Linked DNA regions of Rattus norvegicus. The protein of the gene in region 3 purifies or fractionates together with the protein of the main gene of each other region. This does not show direct contact. Links are inferred from orthologs where the notes say so. Each region holds a gene or a part of one and is shown on either strand. Other genes may lie near its edges. The genes, in order: Mcm8, Mcm2 and Mcmbp.

The links.
Region 1: the proteins of Mcmbp (region 3) and Mcm8 purify together in Homo sapiens (co-immunoprecipitation; 3 studies listed by BioGRID and IntAct, with this or other methods). This does not show direct contact. The link is inferred for Rattus norvegicus from reciprocal best matches to the Homo sapiens genes MCMBP and MCM8.
Region 2: the proteins of Mcmbp (region 3) and Mcm2 purify together in Homo sapiens (co-immunoprecipitation; 6 studies listed by BioGRID and IntAct, with this or other methods). This does not show direct contact. The link is inferred for Rattus norvegicus from reciprocal best matches to the Homo sapiens genes MCMBP and MCM2.

Annotation. Positions count from the first base shown.
Region 1 is NC_086021.1:140,565,614-140,571,887, forward strand, and holds the end of Mcm8 (DNA helicase MCM8), read left to right. Parts: intron 1-30; coding exon 31-107; intron 108-2,876; coding exon 2,877-3,066; intron 3,067-3,742; coding exon 3,743-3,835; 3' UTR 3,836-4,278; downstream 4,279-6,274. UniProt on the Homo sapiens protein: Component of the MCM8-MCM9 complex, a complex involved in the repair of double-stranded DNA breaks (DBSs) and DNA interstrand cross-links (ICLs) by homologous recombination (HR).
Region 2 is NC_086022.1:122,910,125-122,916,525, forward strand, and holds part of Mcm2 (DNA replication licensing factor MCM2), read right to left. Parts: intron 3,173-6,401; coding exon 2,997-3,172; intron 2,865-2,996; coding exon 2,604-2,864; intron 1,860-2,603; coding exon 1,640-1,859; intron 1,539-1,639; coding exon 1,331-1,538; intron 1-1,330. UniProt on the Homo sapiens protein: Acts as a component of the MCM2-7 complex (MCM complex) which is the replicative helicase essential for 'once per cell cycle' DNA replication initiation and elongation in eukaryotic cells.
Region 3 is NC_086019.1:192,742,962-192,750,151, reverse strand, and holds the start of Mcmbp (mini-chromosome maintenance complex-binding protein), read left to right. Parts: upstream 1-2,770; 5' UTR 2,771-3,052; coding exon 3,053-3,110; intron 3,111-7,190. UniProt on the Homo sapiens protein: Associated component of the MCM complex that acts as a regulator of DNA replication.

The DNA.
Region 1 (6,274 bases), on a different chromosome or scaffold from region 3:
TCATTGTACAATAGTTGTTTCCTTTCACAGGCACGAGCAAGGTTAGAATTGAGAGAGGAAGCAACTAAAGAAGACGCTGAAGATATAATTGAAATTATGAAGCATAGGTAAGATCAGCACTAATGTTTTTATGTGGTGGGGGGCAGTGCATCTGCACGTGTGGACATCCAAGGACAACTTCTGGAAGTCAGTTCTTCCTTCCTCTACATGGGTCCCAGGGATTGAACTCACAGTCTTGGCAACACCTTTACCTGCGCAGTCATCTTGCTGCCCCTTGCTTAATTTTTTTAGGAATCTGTTTTTTCCCCTTCTCTTTTTCACCTCTCTTCCCAATCCTTTATCCTTCCTCCCCTCCCCTTCTCCTTTCTCTCTATCTCCTCTTTTCTCTGTCCTTTCTTCCTTCCGTTTGGTGTTTTTGTTAGGTAATACCTGTTTCTTCAAAGGCAGATGTATAGATACGAGTTTGCTTCATGTCAGAATCAGCGTGCTTTGCTAGTTCCTCTCTGCTCCTGAATAACAGTTTTATACAGTTGAATAACAAGGATTTTGCAGTCCAACTTGAGACCGCCATGGCAGGTTTTACCACGGGGGTCACAAGGTGGCTCAGCACAGTAACAGTGCCTGGCATACAAATCAGATGACTTGATGCCTGGAAACAAAGTAAATGTGGAAGGAGAGAAATAACTCCACAGAGCTGCTCTCCGATCTCACACTTGTGTTGGAGCATGTGTACACACAATTATAGTGTTCTCCAGTGCTAGTGCGGTGCATGCTAGTGGGCACTACTGTCTGCCAGATTTGACCCTGTGAAGGTGAGACTGCATAGGTCCTCCTTCTCCGACTCAAGGCCATAAACTGAGGTCAGATCAGAAGTTACAAAAAAGTCTTAGGGTCTGGCACTTATTGCTGTCCTGATCAGTAGGGGGTGGAGCTCATGATCATTTTCTCCCTTCCCCTGTAGGGAGACTTCACCTCACTTTGCTTGTGCTCACGCTTGTTCTGTGTCTGTGGCTCCTTTCCTCTGCTTATGGGCAGAAGGGCACCCTGCTGCCCCTAAGGCCTGAGCTACATCTGCTGCTTGTTTCCTGACTTCATAGGCAGTCTGTGGAAGGAGACTTTTCTCTTTAATTCAGTATGTCAGCAACAAGAGGAGAGAATTGTTTGATCTAAGTGCCTGGATTATCTGGCATTCTCAGAGATGGAGAGCCAGCTAAACACATCACATTGAGATTTGTTAGACTTACCATGCTTTCTCAGTCTATGAGAACGAGGACCTCCTCTTTTACCAGGGTCTTCCAGGGCCAGAATCATGGCTGGCACATGGTATTAAATGTCCTTCATTACTCAAAAATGTTTGCCCTTTTGCAGTTCCTATCTCTTCTGCTTCATTGAAACCATGGTTAATGTGTTATACCTATAAAATTACGTTTGCAACTGGGAAGCAGAAGACGGAGCAAGCAAAGTCTAAACCGTAACATAGTTCATCTGAGTTAGCAGAGTTAACATTTTTGGAAAGTAAACATTTTTATTTAGTAAATAGTTTCTGTTTACTAAATAACGTTTACAATCGTGAAAATATTGTAGGAAGAAGAATAGCGCTACTTCCTGAGATTAGGTTGCTGAGAGCTTTTCTACTTCGGGGAAGTCTGCCAGATAGTGTACAATTTGGTTTTCAAGTGGAAGCAAGGTAGCGTGGATTAAATTCCCAGGTGTCAGTTATTAGTGTAACATTTGGTCTTCATCGTACTTTATGCACATTTCTGTTTTAGAGTTTCTCATCTACTAAGGAACAGATCGTGACTATCAAGGTCATCCCTAAGGACTCCTTAAGCATAATGCTAGTCACTGTCAAGATCCTGAGGACTCCTTGAGGACAGTGCTGATCTGTCCTAGTGGGTGACCAGTACATATTTGATAGTTCCTGAGTAAACACTGCCTGCTAAGCTGCGAATGGGATCTTATGTCCCATTGTACAGATGGGAATCAGCAGTCGAGCTGGATTTACAGGGCAGGCAATGCCATCTGTAATGGGTATTGAAGTGTTTATTTTTGGCGTTGGGGATTTGGCTCAGTGGTAGAGCGCTTGCCTAGCAAGCACAAGGCCCTGGGTTGGTCCCCAGCTCCGAAAAAAAGATTTAAAAAAAAAAAAAGAAGTGTTTATTTTTAAGATTTCTTTATGGGTGTGGGCATTTTGCCTGCACAGTGCCCTCAAGAGGCCAGAATAGAGGATGAAATCCCATGGAGTTGTGGGTGCTTTTAAACCCCAGTCCTCTGCAAGAGCAGTCTGTGATCTAAACTATGGAGCTGTTTCTCCAGCCCTCCTAGTGTTTTAAACATCTTTTCTTTGTAGATGCTGTGGTAGGAAATAATAACACACCCTTACCTAGGAAACCTCAAAATATTGTGTTCAGAAATTTTAGTTTTATAAATCAGAAACGATGTTTTTGGTTAAGTTTAAGTTTTTGGTTAAATGTTTTTGGTTTCAACTCTACAGTTTACATTTCATATTTACAAATTTGTTTTGGTGTTTTGAGATAGGATCCCTCCCTCCACATCCCTAACTGGCCTGGTACTTGATGTATTTCGGCTATCTTTAAACTCAAGGGAGTTCTTACGCCTTAGCTCCTGAGTACTGAGATTACAGGCATTTACTCCTACTCCTGGCAAAAGTTTTTGGTTGTGGTTTTGTTCTTTTAAAAAAAATCAGTAATTGTGTTCAAACTACTTTCATGTCAATCTATATAATAATGGATTTAAAGTAGCCAAGTCTCACAGCCACTCCCAGACTTCTATTACGAATTGGAAACCCAGCCCAAAAATTTCTGTAGCCCTGCCATGTGAGATAATCAGCTAATCCTTTCTTTTCCATCTTTAAGCATGCTAGGAACTTACTCAGATGAATTTGGAAACCTGGACTTTGAGCGATCCCAGCATGGCTCTGGAATGAGCAACAGGTCAACAGCTAAAAGATTTATTTCTGCTCTCAACAGCATTGCTGAAAGAACGTATAACAACATATTTCAATTTCATCAACTTCGTCAGATTGCTAAAGAGCTAAACATTCAGGTAGGATGACCTAAATACTGAGGTCAGTGTCAGAGGGTTCTCCTTAATACAACAAAACTGCTTGTTTTGCTTTGTTTTGTTTTTCTAGCCATTTTCTCTGTGTAGCCCTGGCTGTCCTGGAACTCTGCATACCAGGCTGGCCTTGAACTCAGAGATCTGTCTGCCTCTGTCTCTTGAGCGCTAGGAATAAAGGCAAGCATATCCAGGCCTGAGAACAAAATCGCATTTTAGTTTTGAGATTTTGTTACCTCTTCCCAAAGGTTTTGGCATTTCAGTTGAGGACTTTTTTTAAAAGCAATACTGGTGCTCTGTCTATTCTGGAGCGTCCTGTGGCTGCTCATCGTGATGGCTCCTGTCTCATTTGGTGAATGGACGTGATCCCTGCTGCTCCTACTTTGGAGCTCTAGTGGAGCCACAGAGCTGCACGTTAATATGGCAAGTAGTTGAGGTGTAAGATCACGCACTTTCAGACGCTAGTCCAAAGCTAGTCTTAGCTGAGGTTGGGCTCTTAGTAAAGACAGAGGGTTCTTTATTTAATGGTGTGCTACACGAAGCACACGCTGTTTTTTGTTTATTTGCCCGAGAAGCTTGCTGGGTAACTGTCTCTGTAGAGACTGATGTGGAAGTCATATTTGGCATGTTACTGAGTGCGCTGACTCTTAACGTTTGCTTTTAGGTTGCTGACTTTGAAAACTTCATTGGATCACTGAATGACCAGGGTTATCTCCTGAAAAAAGGCCCAAAGATTTATCAACTTCAAACTATGTGAAAGACTTTCCTATGTCAGGGCCTCCTGTAGTTCAAAAAATTTCAGAATCATCTTAAATATAAAACTGAAAATAAAAGTTCTGAAAAATGACACAACTCATAACAGAAAAAAAGGTATATCCATAATTTACCAGAAGAATACGAAGAGTAAATTATTTCCACTATTTTATCTAAATAACATAAGCATTATTTATGCTTTTGGCTTATATTTTTATTAGTGCTTTTTAGTTTTGTATATCAGATGTCTAGCAGGCATTCAGATAATATATAAATTAGTATGTGTTTAAGTTTTATTTAAAACATTAAACTTTGAATCTCACAAATTGTTAAGGTCACAAAAACTCTTCATTTGTTTCTAACTTTATGGTTATGGGCAGTGGGTCTGACTTGGCTTCTTATTTGAAAGTGGTGGAAACTTATTGACTTAATTAGAAGTCTTTTCTGAGAAGTATTGTTTGCAGAATTGTTTGAATGCTGATGATTTAAAAAAAAAAACAAAAAAACCTTCCCGGGGTTGGGGATTTAGCTCAGTGGTGGGGGGGGGGGGGACAATGCCATTCCTGTAGCTGGAAGTCTCTGCAGAAGGTGAAGGAATGTCGCCTGCACCAGAGCAGCTGCAAGACGCACTCTTCATCCGGCCTCCTCATGCGGCCTCCTCATGCTGCAAGTTCAAAAGAGAAAGCACATGAAGAAGCATGGGTTTGAAACGCTGGATTACAGGCTGGGAAGTTTCCATGAAATCAGAATTCACCATATTTTTGTGAGTCTTCAAATGGAACTGGACCTCTTGCCAAAGCATTCCTTGTATATATAGCCAACAAACACTTTAGCATTTAAGATCCACGGATTGGAAATTAGTCACTTAACTTCCAAGAAACTGGTAGATGAAAAGCTAAAAAACAAAATACCCAAAAGCTGAGTTGGAGAGATGGCTCATTTGGTGAAGTCTGAGGATCTAAACTCAGATTCTCTTATAAAAAGCTAAGGATGCTTCATTTGTAATGGAATGCTGGGTGGGGGTAGGAGAAAGGCAGTTCCCTGAGGCTCACTGGCCAACCTGACTGAACTGGGGAAGTCACGCAGCATCAGCCTCTGCCCCCAACACTTACACACGTACAAAAGCAGTGTGCATTGAGTAACCAAAATTAAACAAATGCTAATTATTTTACGAATGTGTAACTGATATTCAGTCTGTCCCATCAGTCCATGATGAGAGAAAGATGGGCCTATCACACCACTGTATTAAAGGCTAAGACTACACACAAGGGAATCTAACCCTAATTATGAACAGAAACTGACTTTGTTTTTGTTTTTGAGAAGTTTCCCTCTATGTAGCTCTGGCTGTTGTGGAACTCAGAGATCCGTCTGCCTCTGCCTCCCAAGTGCTGGGATTAAAGCTGTGCACCACCAACTCCCGAATTTTCCTTTATTCCTTTTCTCTTTCTTTCATGCCATTGCCTGGATTTTTCTTTTTCTCTTTTTTCTTTTCTTTTTTTTAAATTGAAACAATCCCAGGCTGGCCTTAACTTCCCATATAGCCTAGCCCTCCGCCTCTGGATTTCCTGTATGCTAGAAAAGAACTCTGCCAGCTGAGCCATACCCCAGCTGAGTGTTCCCTTAGAGTCTGTATCTGTTTGCTTTGGTATCTGCTGTCGCAGGGCTAGACTGACAGCTGAAGCTGTTCCCTTTTCCTCAGAGCCAGCATTTTTAACTCCAAAAAATTACATACTCTCCAACTCAGACCTCGTCTGTGTCTCATCTGCTCAGCACACCAGCATCTCCCCATAAAGGCTCTGGCCTCTGGCTTGCTTTTTCTTCCTTTTTCCCACTTCTCACAGGATGATCCAAAGTTTGCCTATGTCTGAGAAACACATGAGTAGTTCGAATGGTTATTTTAAAATTTAAAAAAGTGTTTTACATTTTCTTTTAATGTATATAGATTTTTAAATTTTTTATTTTATTTTTTTGTTTTTGCAGACAGGGTTCTCCAGGCAGCCTTTGGTTGTCCTGGAACTCTCTGTAGACCAGGCTGGCTGGACTCAGACTCACAGAAATCCACTTGCTTTGGCCTCCTAAGTGCTGGGATTAAAAACATTTGTTACCACTCAAAAATTTTAATATATATGGATTTTTAAAATTTTCCTTATTTTTTAATGTTTTGCCTGAATGTGTATCTGTGTGCCACATGTGTGCCTGGTTCCCTCTCTGTGCCTGGAAGGCAGAAGAGGGCATCAGATTCCTAGGAACTGGTGTACAAGAAATTAAAGACAGTTGGACCTCCCAGCACTTGGGAGGCAGTTAGGCAGATCTCCCAATGCAACCCAACTTGCTGTACAAATCAAGGTCCAGGACAGTCAGAGCCACACAAAGATCCCCTCTCAAAAACAAAACAAAAACAAAGATGAACCTGATGAAATGCTCCTTAAATCTACAATCATCA
Region 2 (6,401 bases), on a different chromosome or scaffold from region 3:
TGGCCTATTTGTAGGGCACTGATTCTTCAGTCCACGTATGAGAGACGATGGAGCCTTGTGGGAGGCCTTAGGTCATAGAGGTACACCCCTGCAGGGGACTGAAGCATCCTGGCTAGTCTCTTGTTCTCTTCTGTGTCTCCTATGTGAGGTGAGCAGTTTGCTGTACTGCACACCATCACGGCTACACACAGGCCCAAAGCCGCAGGGTCAACTGACCCCGAACGCCAACTCTAAAACCAAGCCATAAATCAGCTTTCCTCCTTCAAGTCAATGACGCTAGGGGTTTAGTTACAGGAACCCAGAGCTGACTGATCCACAGGACACAGTGGCTAAAAGAGCACAGTATCAGGTCATGGTGGTGTACACCTTTAAGCCCGGAGTTCCAGAGGTAACGTTAGGTAGATGTCTGTGAACTTTAGGCTAGTCATGGTTACAGTGAGCCCCTGTCCGGATAGAAGAAGCACACAGTCACATCTACATGCTCGCCTGTTCCTCAGGACACTGCAGCACGGGAGACTTTAGACAATCAAGCCTCCAAACACCTGTTTTTACATGAGAAGAGAGCCGTGGAACCTCCCTCCCAGAACATAATCAAGACAAAGACCCAAGGAACACTCCTGGCAGCCAGCAAGGCCAGCACACACTTGACCCCACTTGTTAATTCCTGTTGTACAGCTCAGTGTCCTGGGGCCAAAGTCCAAGGTGGGGCTGCAAAGGACAAAGGGATACAGCTAAGTGCAGCCTTGGAGCTGGGTCACCCAGGTTAAAGCAGAGCTGGGCTTGAACACCGTCATGGGCAACCTCCTGGCCAGGCAGCTCTAAACTAGACAGCTCAGAACCACAGAAAGCATCATGAGTGCTAACACTCCCAGAGCCAGGCAGCAGTGGGGGAGAGGTAGGGGCAGCTGCAGATGAAGACAAGTACAAAGGCATCCATGCTGGCCCCAGGATTTCAGAGTCAGGAGGTACACAGTCTCCCAAGCAAGGCTCTGCAGGATCCAAGGTGGTATAACCCTGGATACACCCACAAATCACGAGGAGCCAGTCAGGCCCACCAAATGAGACGACAGACGGTCCAAGTGCCCATGTGATAGGCATGTAGGTGCTCTACTGGGGTGGACAGGTCTAAGTGGCCCTGTTTGCCACTATCTTTAGAGATCACTAATGTGGATACACTGAACATCACCTAGTTTCAAATATGCTGAATTACTGAAGACATGGGGTCAATCTACTTCGTGCTGCCATGTTTAACTGCCTCAAAGTCTTCTGGCCCTGTAGATGGCCCAGGCCTTGCATACTGAAGACAGTGTGGCAGGTCTGTGCTACTCACCTCCTCCATGTTGATCTCAAAGGGCCCAGTTGACTGGCACTCAGGGCAGGAACCAGGCTTCACCTCCTGGTTCTGAGACTGGCAGAAAGGCCCCAGTATAAAGTTGCACTTGCTACAGTTATACTTGACCATGCTGAGCTGGGGCAGGACTCCAGTGCAGCTGGTCACCACACCGCTGGTACGGATGAGCTGGTTCAGGTGTAGCTGCCTGTGTTGAGAGGTAACAAGCACGTCAGAGGCATCGGGAGGCTATGGGACCACTTCCTTCACCACTCTCTGGATGAGGCCCCGCTCTCCCACACTGCTCACCTCAGTGAACGCAGCTCCTCCACCAGAGGCAGGTGGGAGATGCGCACGTGAATGTGGTTGGTGATGCGGTCATATTTAGGGTACATGGCCAGCACAACCTCCAGGGCAGCCTCATCGAAGATCTGCAGCAGCTCAGCGGGTGCCTCGGGTAGGAAGTATGCCAACACATGTTCCCGGGCTGCCAGGTCTTCATAATTTACCACCAAACTCTCCCGGTTCTCTGAGGAGGATAGTGGATGGGACAGATGACATAGCCAGGGGCCATGAAGGTGTCTAACATCTTAGAACCCTGCTGGCCAAACCCCTCTACCCAAAACAAACCTGAGAGGGACAGAAATTCCAGTTTACACCCTAGACCCACTACCTGTGGCTGTGCAATAGAGACCCAAGTGATAATATTAACAGCACACAGATCTCTGGGGATGTCATTTCCAGGAGAAATAGAGAGCCCTCAGGCTACAGAGCAGAGTGCCAGAGGCCAAGGAGAAGCTACTGTCATTGCTGGAGGGGCTGCCACAGCCCCAAGCTGTTGTACCCTGTAAAGCCAATGCTGTCATGTAGAAACGCTCCCACTTTTGGATCAAAGTTGTAAAGCACAGGCTGGGGAGTGGTTCAGTGGGAGAACACTTGCTAGGCCCTGGGTTCAACCTGACTGCAAAACCCAACCAATCAACCGAACCAAACCAAACAAAGAAATAAGCCCTCCAAAAAACAAAACAGGGTAGTAATACATTTTTAAGCACATCTTCAAACAGCCTAGCTCTGGTGCAGATGCAGGAAACCTTGGGTTCCGCAGGTTCTGTCCTTGCAACCAAATGTTTCTGTCCATTATGTGGCTCAGTGTGGTACAACAAAGCCAGCAGGATACAGAAGCCAGGCCACCTTCACCCTTTACTGCTGAGACTGAACCAGGACCTCACTCATGGTGAGTGCTACACCTCACCCCAGACTATCAGGAACATACCTTTGCACATATCACTGATACGCTCCTTGAAGACGTTGTGGCCATGGCTGTCCACGTGGGTGCGCAAGAAGTTCTTGAAACGGTGGTGGATCTCCAGTCTGGGCCCTGCCATGCTCACCCACTCTCGCACCGAGTGGCCCTTGAGGTCCTCCAGGTTCTCAATACTCTCAATCATCTCTTCATCCTCCTCGCCATCCTCTGTGGCACGCTCTATGTGGCGGCGCTTACGGGCAGGCCGCTCCTCATCTTCTTCGTCGCTGTCTTGGGTAGTAGCAAGGAACTCCTGTGAGCAAGTCTCTCCCAGCATCCTTTGCACACTTGCCACCCATGTCTTCCCCACTCCCGAGGCTTTGGTGGTCCAAGTGGCACCTATGGGATGCCCTCCACACATACCATACAGCAGCCCACGACGCATGCGACCCAGGCCTCTGCCAGCCTCACGGTCCCGCTGCCTCATAGCCCGCTCAGCTGCCTCCCTCTGACTGGCTGTCAGCTCCTCCACATCTTCATCATCCAGGGCCAATCCCTCTGCCTCGTAGACATCGAGCTCGGGAATGGGACGGTAGTCTCTGCAAGAGGCCAGCAGTGGACAATGAATCCTCAAACAACCCACCTGAGAATTAGTTCTGCTCCACAGGCTTTGCTGGACAGCTGCAAACAGGAAGTTGAAATGTTCAAGAATATGATTTAGGGACTCCATCAAGGAGGCATAAATCAATAGGATGGAAAAGGGGGTCCATCTGTATGCATGAGGTACACGTGAGTCTGGGCAGGAGAGCAAGCCCCACATCCACAGCGCCACCTGCTGGTGATATGTGATGGCTGCAGCCAATGCTTCCCCTATATGCAGTCTCCCAACCTAACCTGCTCGAGAGAATTACCAACAAAGTATCAAATAAGGTCATTTTTACAGTCACCAATTGGCACCATTTTCATCAGAAACAAGAAAGCATGAAAACTGTCACAGTCAGGGAGGAAATGGGGGACTCAGAACACAGGTCAGAAAGTACAAAAACTTAATAAATGCAATAGAATTCTTTGGATAACTAAAGTGGGAAAATCTCTAGAATTTCAGGACACCGATGGAAATATGAAAGGTACTAACTGGTTAACCAGGTCTTCTCTCAACAGTGTGAACACATCTGGGGCTAGAGATGGTTCAGGGGTTGAAAGAGCAATGTACTACTCCCTGTGTAGCTGTGGCTGTCTTGGAACTCAAGAGATCTATCTGTCTCTGCCTCCCAAGTGCTGGGATTAAAGCTGTGTGTGTGCCACGGCACCTACTTCACAAACTGCTCTTGCTGAGAGAATAAGAATCCAATTCCCAGCACCCATACTGGGCACCTGCACCTCAAATGTATGTACTACAGATACACCCACATATAACTTTTTAAATTAAACAACAACCATTTTAACTGGGTCTAGTAGCCTTACTTCCAGGAGCCAGGAGGCCATCAGGCAGATCTGAGAGTTTGAGGTCAGTCAAGGCAAACTTTAAAGGAGTTAGCGGTAACATCCCAGGGTGATCAGTGGACAAACCCACAGGGTAGATTATCACTCAACCTTAAAACAGAAGGGGAATCTGACAGGTGAACCTGCATGGATGAATCTCGACGACGTTTCACCAATGGATTAAGCCATACAACTCCTATGGGATCCTGAGGGGTCAGACCCAAATGGGGACAGGAAGTCAGTATTCTGGGGGAAGATTCAGTTTTGAGACAATAAAAAGTTCTGGAGGACTGAGGCAGATGAATGCCACTGAGCCACACACTAAAAATGGAGAAACACTTTGCTGTGCATTTAATTGAGGGGGCTGGGCTGGAGAGAAGGCTCAGTAGGACCCGAGTTCCCAGCTCTCAGTTCAGATAGCTCATAAACCAACCTGTAGAACTCCAACTTCAGGTGGGGGATCTGACACTTTCTTCTGGCTTCTGCGGCCACCTATACACCCATGTGCATAAACTCCAGACACTCAAGGACACACACTTTTCTTTTTCTTTTTTTATATGGGGGATCTCCAAAGAGCTCCTAACTCCCGATAAGAAAATGGAAGTAGGGGCTGGAGACATGGCTCAGTAAAGAGCAATGGCTGCTCTTCAGGAAGAACTGGGTTCAATTCCCAGCTCACAACTGTCTGTAACTCCAGTTCCAGGGGACCCAACACCCTCACACAGATATATGTGCAGGTAAATAAAACCACCAACGCACATAAAGTAAACAAATCATTTTTTAAAATTTAAAAAGAAAATGAAATGGAATTAGAGGGTGCCAAGACCCTGACACCAGTAAGGTCAGAGAGCAGATCCCAGTGTGTCCCAGGATGACACCCTCCCTATGCCTTCTCCCCAACTGAACACAACCCAGACAGACAGGCTGCCTGAAAAGCTCTCGCCCAGTGGCTCAAGTCTGAGCAGTCTCTTTCCAGGTGACCGCGTGTTTGGTCCTTGAAAGGAAGCATCATCTAACGGAGGGCCAAGCCCAGCTTCCCTACGGTGCCCGATTTTATAGTCGATCATCAGGACTAAGGGACAAGTGCAGTGCAACAGGCTGCAAGCTCCTTCCTCAGTGCCACAGGCCTCCCCACAGAAGCAGGGACCTACTAGGGAAACAGACCCCTGGAGCTCTCCCTTTCTCAGAGTGACTGGCTAATGTTCTCAAACTACCCTCTCAAAACAAACAATTTCAAAACCGCCAAAGGCGAGGCAAAGCAGGCAGACATGCCGACTAGTTCTGTGCAGAAAGTAATAGTTTCTGAGAAGAGTGTGTTCTGATCCTTAGAGGATCCCAGTTACCTGAAGCACACTCAGTGAGGTTCTAGTTAGCCTACACTGAAGCCCATAAACCACACAATCTGGGTTTCATCAAATTTCAACTCCAGCAAGCCGTCCTCTGACCTCCACAAGCATACCATGGCACATGCACCCACACACAAACACAGTGAGTCATGCAATTAAATATTAAAAAAATAAGACATTAAAAAAAAATGACTGGCTGCTCTTGCAGAAGACCTGGGTTCAGTTTTCACATCCACATAGTAGCAACCTCATTAACACGTTTAATGGGGCCTGACGCCCTCTTCTGGTCTCTGCAGGCATAGGTATGCATGTGGTCAAACACTCAAATCATTTAAAAAAAAAAAAAAAAAGACTTTACTTTGAAGACACCGCAGAGTGAAATGTTGGCACAAAAGGATGAACACAGTGATTCCAGCCCTAGTAATATGATTAGAACTGGGATCAACAGGCAGAAGAGACCACAGTGGGGGTGATAAAAATGGTGCTCAGAAAGCATGCATGGACCATCCCTGTGCTGTATATATAAGGATAAGGCTTATATATAGAAATTAGCCTCTTTCCATACAAAGTCAGATAGTCCTCAGACATCTCCAAAATGTCTCTCACTTTAAAGAAGAGGTTATAAAAGCCAGGACAGTCAGGGCTACGCAGTGAAACCTTGTCTCAAACAACAACAATAAAAACAACCAAACAAAACCAGAGGTACAAATACAAGAATAAGAGGAGGTGGTACAGGAGGCCCCCTGAGAGCAATTCTGCAGGGAAGCCCTTGACGATGAGCCCAGGATGATCTGTATCAACTCCTGTCATACATGGGCGTTCATTGCAGACATAGTCTCTTCATACGTAGCCTGGTGGTGTTAAAGCAAAGAATCAAAAGGAGCAGAAAATTACAGTCCCTACGAAGGCTCATAGCCCTCCGATATCCCCTATGGAAAGGTACAAAGGGAGGGTGACACAGGCTCCTATGTGGTCACAGGTCTACATCCCGCTGGATGTT
Region 3 (7,190 bases):
AGAGGCAGGCAGATCTCTGTGAGTTTGAGCCTGGTCTACAGAGTGGGCTCCAGGACAGCCAGAGCTATACAATAAGAAACCCTGTCTCTACAAAACAAAAAACAAACAAACAAAATTCATAAGCACAGGGATCTATTTCCTGATGACTCCCCTTATACATGATTACCTCAGAAAAACCTGAATTCCAAAACAATCACTTTGCATAATTAACATCAAAAATGATTTTTTTTATTTTAGACCACAACAGGAAGAAAAAAACCTAATTATCAAGAAGAGAAAAAGGACAGAAAAGGGCACAGAATGAGATATACCTTTTAAGGGGATGCTCTGAGTGACCTTCTTCTAATCAGGTCCCTTCATGACTACACTCTTCTCAATTAAGGATCCATTGATGGGCACTGGAGATGTAGCTCAGCCTGGGCTACATAGTCAGTTCCAAGGAAACCTGGGATAGATGATAGATAGATAGATAGATAGATAGATAGATAGATAGATAGATAGAATCTCAGCACATAGATTTAATTTGTATATTATAAGGCACAGAGCTAAAATACGAAATTTCCCTCATTCAATTCCAAGAACATGGCTACTTTCTCTACTGAAAGAATGGATGAATAAAGTGGAAATACCATCTCTCATAGTTACTTTTCTTCTGTTGTGATACAATACTATGACAAGAAAACTTACAAAGATTTTAATTGGGTTTATGATTTTACAGGGTTAGAGTCTATGATGGCAGGGCAAAGGCCTGGTGACAGAACAGCTGACATCTCATGATCTGAAAACAGAAGGCAGAGAGTGCACACTGGGAGTGGTGGGAGGTTTCTGAAGCTAAGTCTGCCGCCATGACACATCTCCCCCCCCCCCAACAAGCCACACCTTTTAATCCTTCCTGAACAGTTCTACCAACTGGGAATCAAGTATTCAAACATTTGAGCCTATGGGGACTATTCTCATTGAAACAACTACATTGTCCTAGCCTTGTTAGCTTTCTCAACTCACAAAGCCAGACGTAAAGTCAGATTGAAATGCCAAGTCCAAATTACCTCTTTCATCCCAAAGCAAACCAGGGTGTCATTCCAAATCATGCTACTTTGGCATAAAGATTATCTTGAGCGAAGGCAACTGAACAGAACCACATATAAGAAAATCTCCTGCCTTCCCACTGTTTGTACAAAAGCAGGATATAGGGTTTCAAGGCTTCCTCCCTCCCTTTCTACCAGAAAAGACAGAAGCTAATCACCTGGAAGAACTTATATAAGATTTTATATACTATGTTAACCATGAAACTCTCATGTTTTGATTTCCTGCAACTTGTTGCCTTTGGGAACTAAGAACTACCTTCTTCTGTCATTTCTCTACAATGTTATTGTTCTTTGTGGATGATTGCTGTATAACCTCGAATTCTAAGATATTAAATTACTTTTTCCCAGTTGTTCATAAACTTGTGGCACACATGTTCATGAACTTAATTTTTTTTTTCAAGACAGGGTATCTCTGTGTAGCCCTGGCTGTCCTAAAACTCACTCTATAGACCAGGCTGGCATCAAACTCAGATTCACCTGCCTCTGCCTCCTGCGTCCTAGGATTAAAGGTGTGTGCCACCACTGCTTGGCTCTTAATATTTATTTATTTGTTTGTTTGCTTTTGAGACAGGGTCCTATGTAGCTCAGGCTGGCCTCAAATTGGGTATGTGGCCAAGGCTGTCTGTGAACTCCTGACCTTCCTTGCCTATATCCCAAATGCTATAATTTAAAGATAAGTTCATTCCAGGGGACCAAGAAAGGCAGAGGGGCAGGTTTGGTACCCTTTCCCTTCTGCCCTAGAGATTCCTGGGTTCAGTCAAAGCTGCCTCTGTTCATCTATTGCCATCTCTCCCTCTTTTATCCCTTGCTAGGGATTAAATCCAGGTGCCTCTGGCATACCAGGCAAGTGCTCTGCCACTGAGAAGTTCTTATTCTTCAGCTATCTAGATGCTATTCAGATCACCGCTACCTTTTTAAAGCCAAGTAGGTATAGATGGTGAAACCAGGGTTTTCTGAGGTACATCCCATACACAGGGAAAATGTCTTCTTTATGAAAACTTGACAGTTCCTAAGTTCTCTAGACTACAGGTTACAGTGGAGCTGCCCTTCTGCGTCGCCCTGTAAGAGTATTCTGATCTGTATGCTGTACAGGTATCTTGCCATAGCTCCCTAGTTGTCAGGTTGGAAGCAGAAGGGCTCTGGGTGTTTTTGAGGTTAGAAACTAAAGGCTGGGCTAGGAGAAAGTTCTGAGTGCTTGCCAGCTCCTTGGCCATATTGAGAAGCCCACAAGGCTACAAAGCCTCCTTGATTAAATCGTTCAGGAAGAACTCACTGAGCTGGGGGCAAGTTCTTTTACAGGATTTTGTGCAGGGCACCTTAGAAGAGTTCTACCACCAGAGTCACAAAGAGATCCGATGATCAGACACCGAATGGCGTTTCAACCCCTAATTTTGCTCAGAGATGACTCTTGAGGTTGGCTGAACTTGTGGCTTTTGGTCCGTGTGCAAGGTCTCAAACTTTGAGCCAATGAGGCACCCTGATGGAGTTTGCCTCCAACGCGCGAACACGGTGACCACTATACTCAAGCACAGTAGCCTTCCTCTGCCCGTCTCCAAGATGGCGGCCCCGGGATTGCCCTATCTCTACCCGTCTCCAAAATGGCCGCCCGCCCCGCCCACTCCCTCCCCTCCGGGAGTGCGCAGCACGCTCCCGCCGCCCCTCCTTCTTGAGCTCCACCCAGGTCTCTGGTAGCGCGGTCGGTGGCCGCGATTTCCCGCCATTGTGAGAAGTGGAGGCTGGGACGATCTCCCCTCCTCCGGTCGCTGGACAGCAGCTCTGAGACACTCGTCACCGTCGCCGCAACCACCTCTCCTTGAGACGCGCGGAGGCCCGTGGCTCGCGACGCCCGGCGCGTGGGAGGGCGCGGACGAGGAGCGGCTGAGCCCCCGAGGAGAAGCCGGGCTCCGAGCGCGCTCGCCCGGCAGAGAAGCGCCGCGCGGGCCGCGCTGGCCCCAGCCCTCAGCGCCATGCCCTGTGGAGAAGACTGGCTGAGCCACCCGCTCGGGATCGTGCAAGGCTTCTTCGGTGAGTGGCGCGTGGCGAGCAGGGCCGGGAGGGGAGCGGAGTTTGCGGGACCAGGCCTGCCGCGCGGCCACACTCGGGACGGCGGTCCGGGAGAATCACTGCCGAGGGCTCGCGTGGCCCCGGGCCTGGCAGCCAAGCAGAAGCAGCGGACTCGGGCCGCGGACGCAGGTGCCACCACCTCCCGTCACCTGCCCGCTGCCGGGCTCTGGCTCGCTGGCGGCGTGGACCCAGCTGCGAGCGCTGGCAGTGATTGACGGCCTGGCTCCCGGCTGGTGGCCTACCTAGCCCGGGTCCTGCAGACACGAGAGGTCCCCTTGCCCACGGAGGGCCCTCAGAGCGGTCGCGAAGAGAAGCCACTGCCTGTGGGAGCCTGCGGGATATTTCAAAACTTCCGGGGTGTGTGTAGGGGAGTGCTGGATCCTTCGCACAGAAGTTCATTCTGTTTCCACGTCTCCCTTGACATCCGAGAGAATGCTTCATTTTTTACCCCTGCTCTGTTGACTTAAAAACCCGTCAGCTCTGTTATTAGTTCCTGTACCAGGGCTAGCTAGAAATGCTCAGCTACTTAGATGAGTTGATACAGAACGAGAGCCGAGAGTGCTGTAGGCAAGCTGAGTAAATTTTAGTTGTAATTGTCATGGTTACTTTTTTTTTTTTTTTTTTTTTTTTTTTTTTTGCTTTACTGGACCTCCAATTCCCATTCGAATCCCTGATTTCGGTGCGCTTAATGACTGGCCGGAGCCACCAGTCTCCGTGGAATGTGTTTTCTGTACTAATGCTCCCACAGGATCCGATTCATTTTACCTAGAATTCTAACTACTCAGGTAGTTTCCCAGGGTGAAACTAAACCCGGTAGATAAAAGGACTGGGTAGACCTTAAGATTATAGCCAGTGAACACACAGTCTGATAAAGAGGAGCAGGGATGTGCAAGCCCACGAAAGAGTAAAACATGGGCTTGGGATATTATAGCTCAGTAGTAGAATGCATGCCTGGCCTGATGATGGTCTGAGTGTAGTGCAGGTGGAGAGAAGCTAGATCCATACCTAGCAATCTAGGGTGGTTTTCAAGGGGTGTGTGTGTATAAGCAGCTTACCTGTCATTCTGTCACCTGGAAGACAGCTCTGTCTCTAAAAAGAGAAAAAGGGTCCTATGTCCCTTCACCAAGTGCTAGTAATTGAAGTTCAGAATACTGCAGTCAACAGTTGAGACTAATAACAGATTAGCCCAGCCAAGATTCAGTTCTGGACTGGCTGAAAGTGCAAATGTGTAGATACATTCGAAGGAAAAGCTCCCCGTAGTTAAAGGTTTGGGACTTACAGGGTAAAGTTCCAATGACCGACCCCCAGAATTCCTTATCCTTTACTTTGAGGCAGATCTCTAACCTGATCTGGTCTCATGGAAGTCCTCCTGCCTCATCCTTTGGAGTGTGCCTGTGCCACTTGCCCAGCCAGAATCTCCATTTGTGAGAAATATCCCAGTACCCTGGTCTTGCTGTAGGAATGACGTGGTTTTAAATGCAATACAGATTGGATATATCGTTGTCGCGTTTCGTTCCTTAAGTGTGATCCTAAGGTATCACACCTCTTTATTGTACAGGAAAACACAGAACTTGATTACAAGTACTGTAGTATTTTCTAAATCTTGTGGAATGTTGTGGAAAGGTCATTGTTGCCCTCTGAATGGCTCTTAAGTGTAATCTGCCCTGCTCTGTATTTCCACTGTGTTTTCCTGTGGCTGTCATTCCGTTGGGCACCTTTATGATAAGAGTATTGAAGTTGCTGTATGAAAAGTTGGAGACTTTGGTCTGTGTTTGATTTTCGGTTTTGGTACTGGGGATTGAACCCAGTACAGGCAGGCAGGTACATAGTCCATCCCTGAAGATGGTCTTACTGGCTCCACACCAAGCGTCCCTCCAAGTGTTGCATCGGCTTCAGATATTAAATATCTCTTGACCCTGTCAGATATCTTCATCTTCAACACTGCTGCCATAGCCCAGGACCTTGTAGTCATGTTTTAGACTTCTGCAACAGCTTCCAAGTCTCTTGCACTTATATGCTACAACCAGTGGCTTCCGGCTGCTTCTAGAGACTTTCCCTGTTTGGGTTTTAATTTTATAAGTAACCCCAGGTTGCCCTTGAATTCTCCATTTTCCACCTCAGCCTCTTGGTGTGTGGAGATTACTAGTAAATATCACTGTAGTTGTGTTGACCTGAGTATGTTATGACCTCAGTACCTGACCTACACCTTTTTCCTCCTCTGATGCCCTGTACACTGTATAGCCCAGGCTGGGCTTGAGCCTCTAAATTCTGGGATTACAGGCATGTACTGTCTCTTCTGGCTTTCATCGGTATGTCTTCTGAGGTGTTTTTATATCTACTTGTGCTTTTCTCTGAGGATACATGGACATGGACAGGGGCCCTTGGATACCAGAAGTTATAGGCCCTTGTGAGCTCTTTTCCTGTGGGTGCTAGGATACACTTTTTACTCTTAATTTTCCTCTTATTTTCGTTTGTTTCCTTGTTTGGCTGAGACTGTTTGATGTGGCTCAGGTTGGCCTCCAGCTCCCTAATCAAACATGCCCCTACTTTCCAAGTGCTGGGCTCACATCCACGTCTCACTGTGCTTACCCCCACCCCATATGAATAATTTGAATTACTACCCACTTTGACTTAAGCTCTTGTCATTTTACCTAGGCTGGCATCCACCACTTCCTGGGTTCAAGTGACCCTCCTTTAGCTTCTAAGTAGCTGGGACCACCAGTAGGAGATGGGCCACTAGTCGTACCCATAACAAACAACACACACACACACACACACACACACACACACACACACACACACACACACACACACACGCCTGCTCGCTCGCTCTCTCACTCAGCCGTCCCACTGGCCACGTAACTGCTCTTGATTCCAGGTAGCTTGTAACAGCTGCCTCTTCATTTTAGGTGTTTCAGTTTTGGCTTAGTTGGGTTCCTTGGTTCATTCTAATGGATGAGGCTGGCCAGCGTCTGAAGGAGGAAGTCTGAGACTAATCACTAGTGTTTTCAAAAGTTCAAAGCAGTAATGAGATCAGCGGAAGCTGCTCTGTTCTTGTCATCAGTCCACTGTCTTGTGTGCACCCAGTGTGGAGCTCTTCACCTACTGCCCGGCTCTTGATAGGTGCTAAAGAGTAATTTATGGTAAGACTAGAGCCCAGGGAAAGGGCCTGGGTGTTTTGAGGAACTGCGTTCTAGGACTAAGAGAAGCAGGAGGACACTCGGCTCTGTGTGTTAACTTGCAGTTTTTCTCTTCCGTATCAAACTCACTTGTCCTCAGTGCCAGCACATACCTCATCCCAAATTCTAGGGGTAGAAAATCTACTGTCATCTCATGATTAGCTACCTCTGATGGCCATGAGGGTTGTTGTGTAGGACAGTCATGGCCATTGAGGAGGTTTTCAAAGAAACCTGAATTGAACAGCCATGGCAAAATGTGTGAGTATTTAAGCTATAAATAAGAACTAACATGTGGTTACAAGGCCAATACAGATCTGCTAAGTTAGTTATTATATGTTCTCCCGTTGAATGAAACTCCTTTTGTTTGATTTTTCTATTTTTTTAAGACAGGATCTCACTATGGAGACCAGGCTGGCCTCAAACTTACATCTATCCACTTGCCTCTGCCTCTGCCTCTGGTGTGCTGGGATTAAAGCCGTGTGGCACCAAGCCTTGCTCAGCTGTTCCTACTTTCCAGTGGTTTGTGTGTGGCTTTCTGGGGTGGCGAAACATTCTTATTCAGATATAATTCACATAAAACTTATAACAGGAATGTATATTTGATCTTGTAAAGCAAGCCTGTAGCCACAGGTACTTGGGAGGTTGAGGCAGGAGGATTGAGTTGAAGGCCTGCCTGGGCAACTAATGAAAATCTGTCTCAAAATAAAAAGGCACAAAAGCAACATAACTGAGTGTTACTGGGTATTATAGGTGGCACTTTAGGTTTAAGGCTACTAAATCCTATAAATAAATATTCAATGGTTTTTGCTATCTTTAAATTACATTTAGTGTGAGAGAGAATGAATGAGGGCACAGGAGTGCC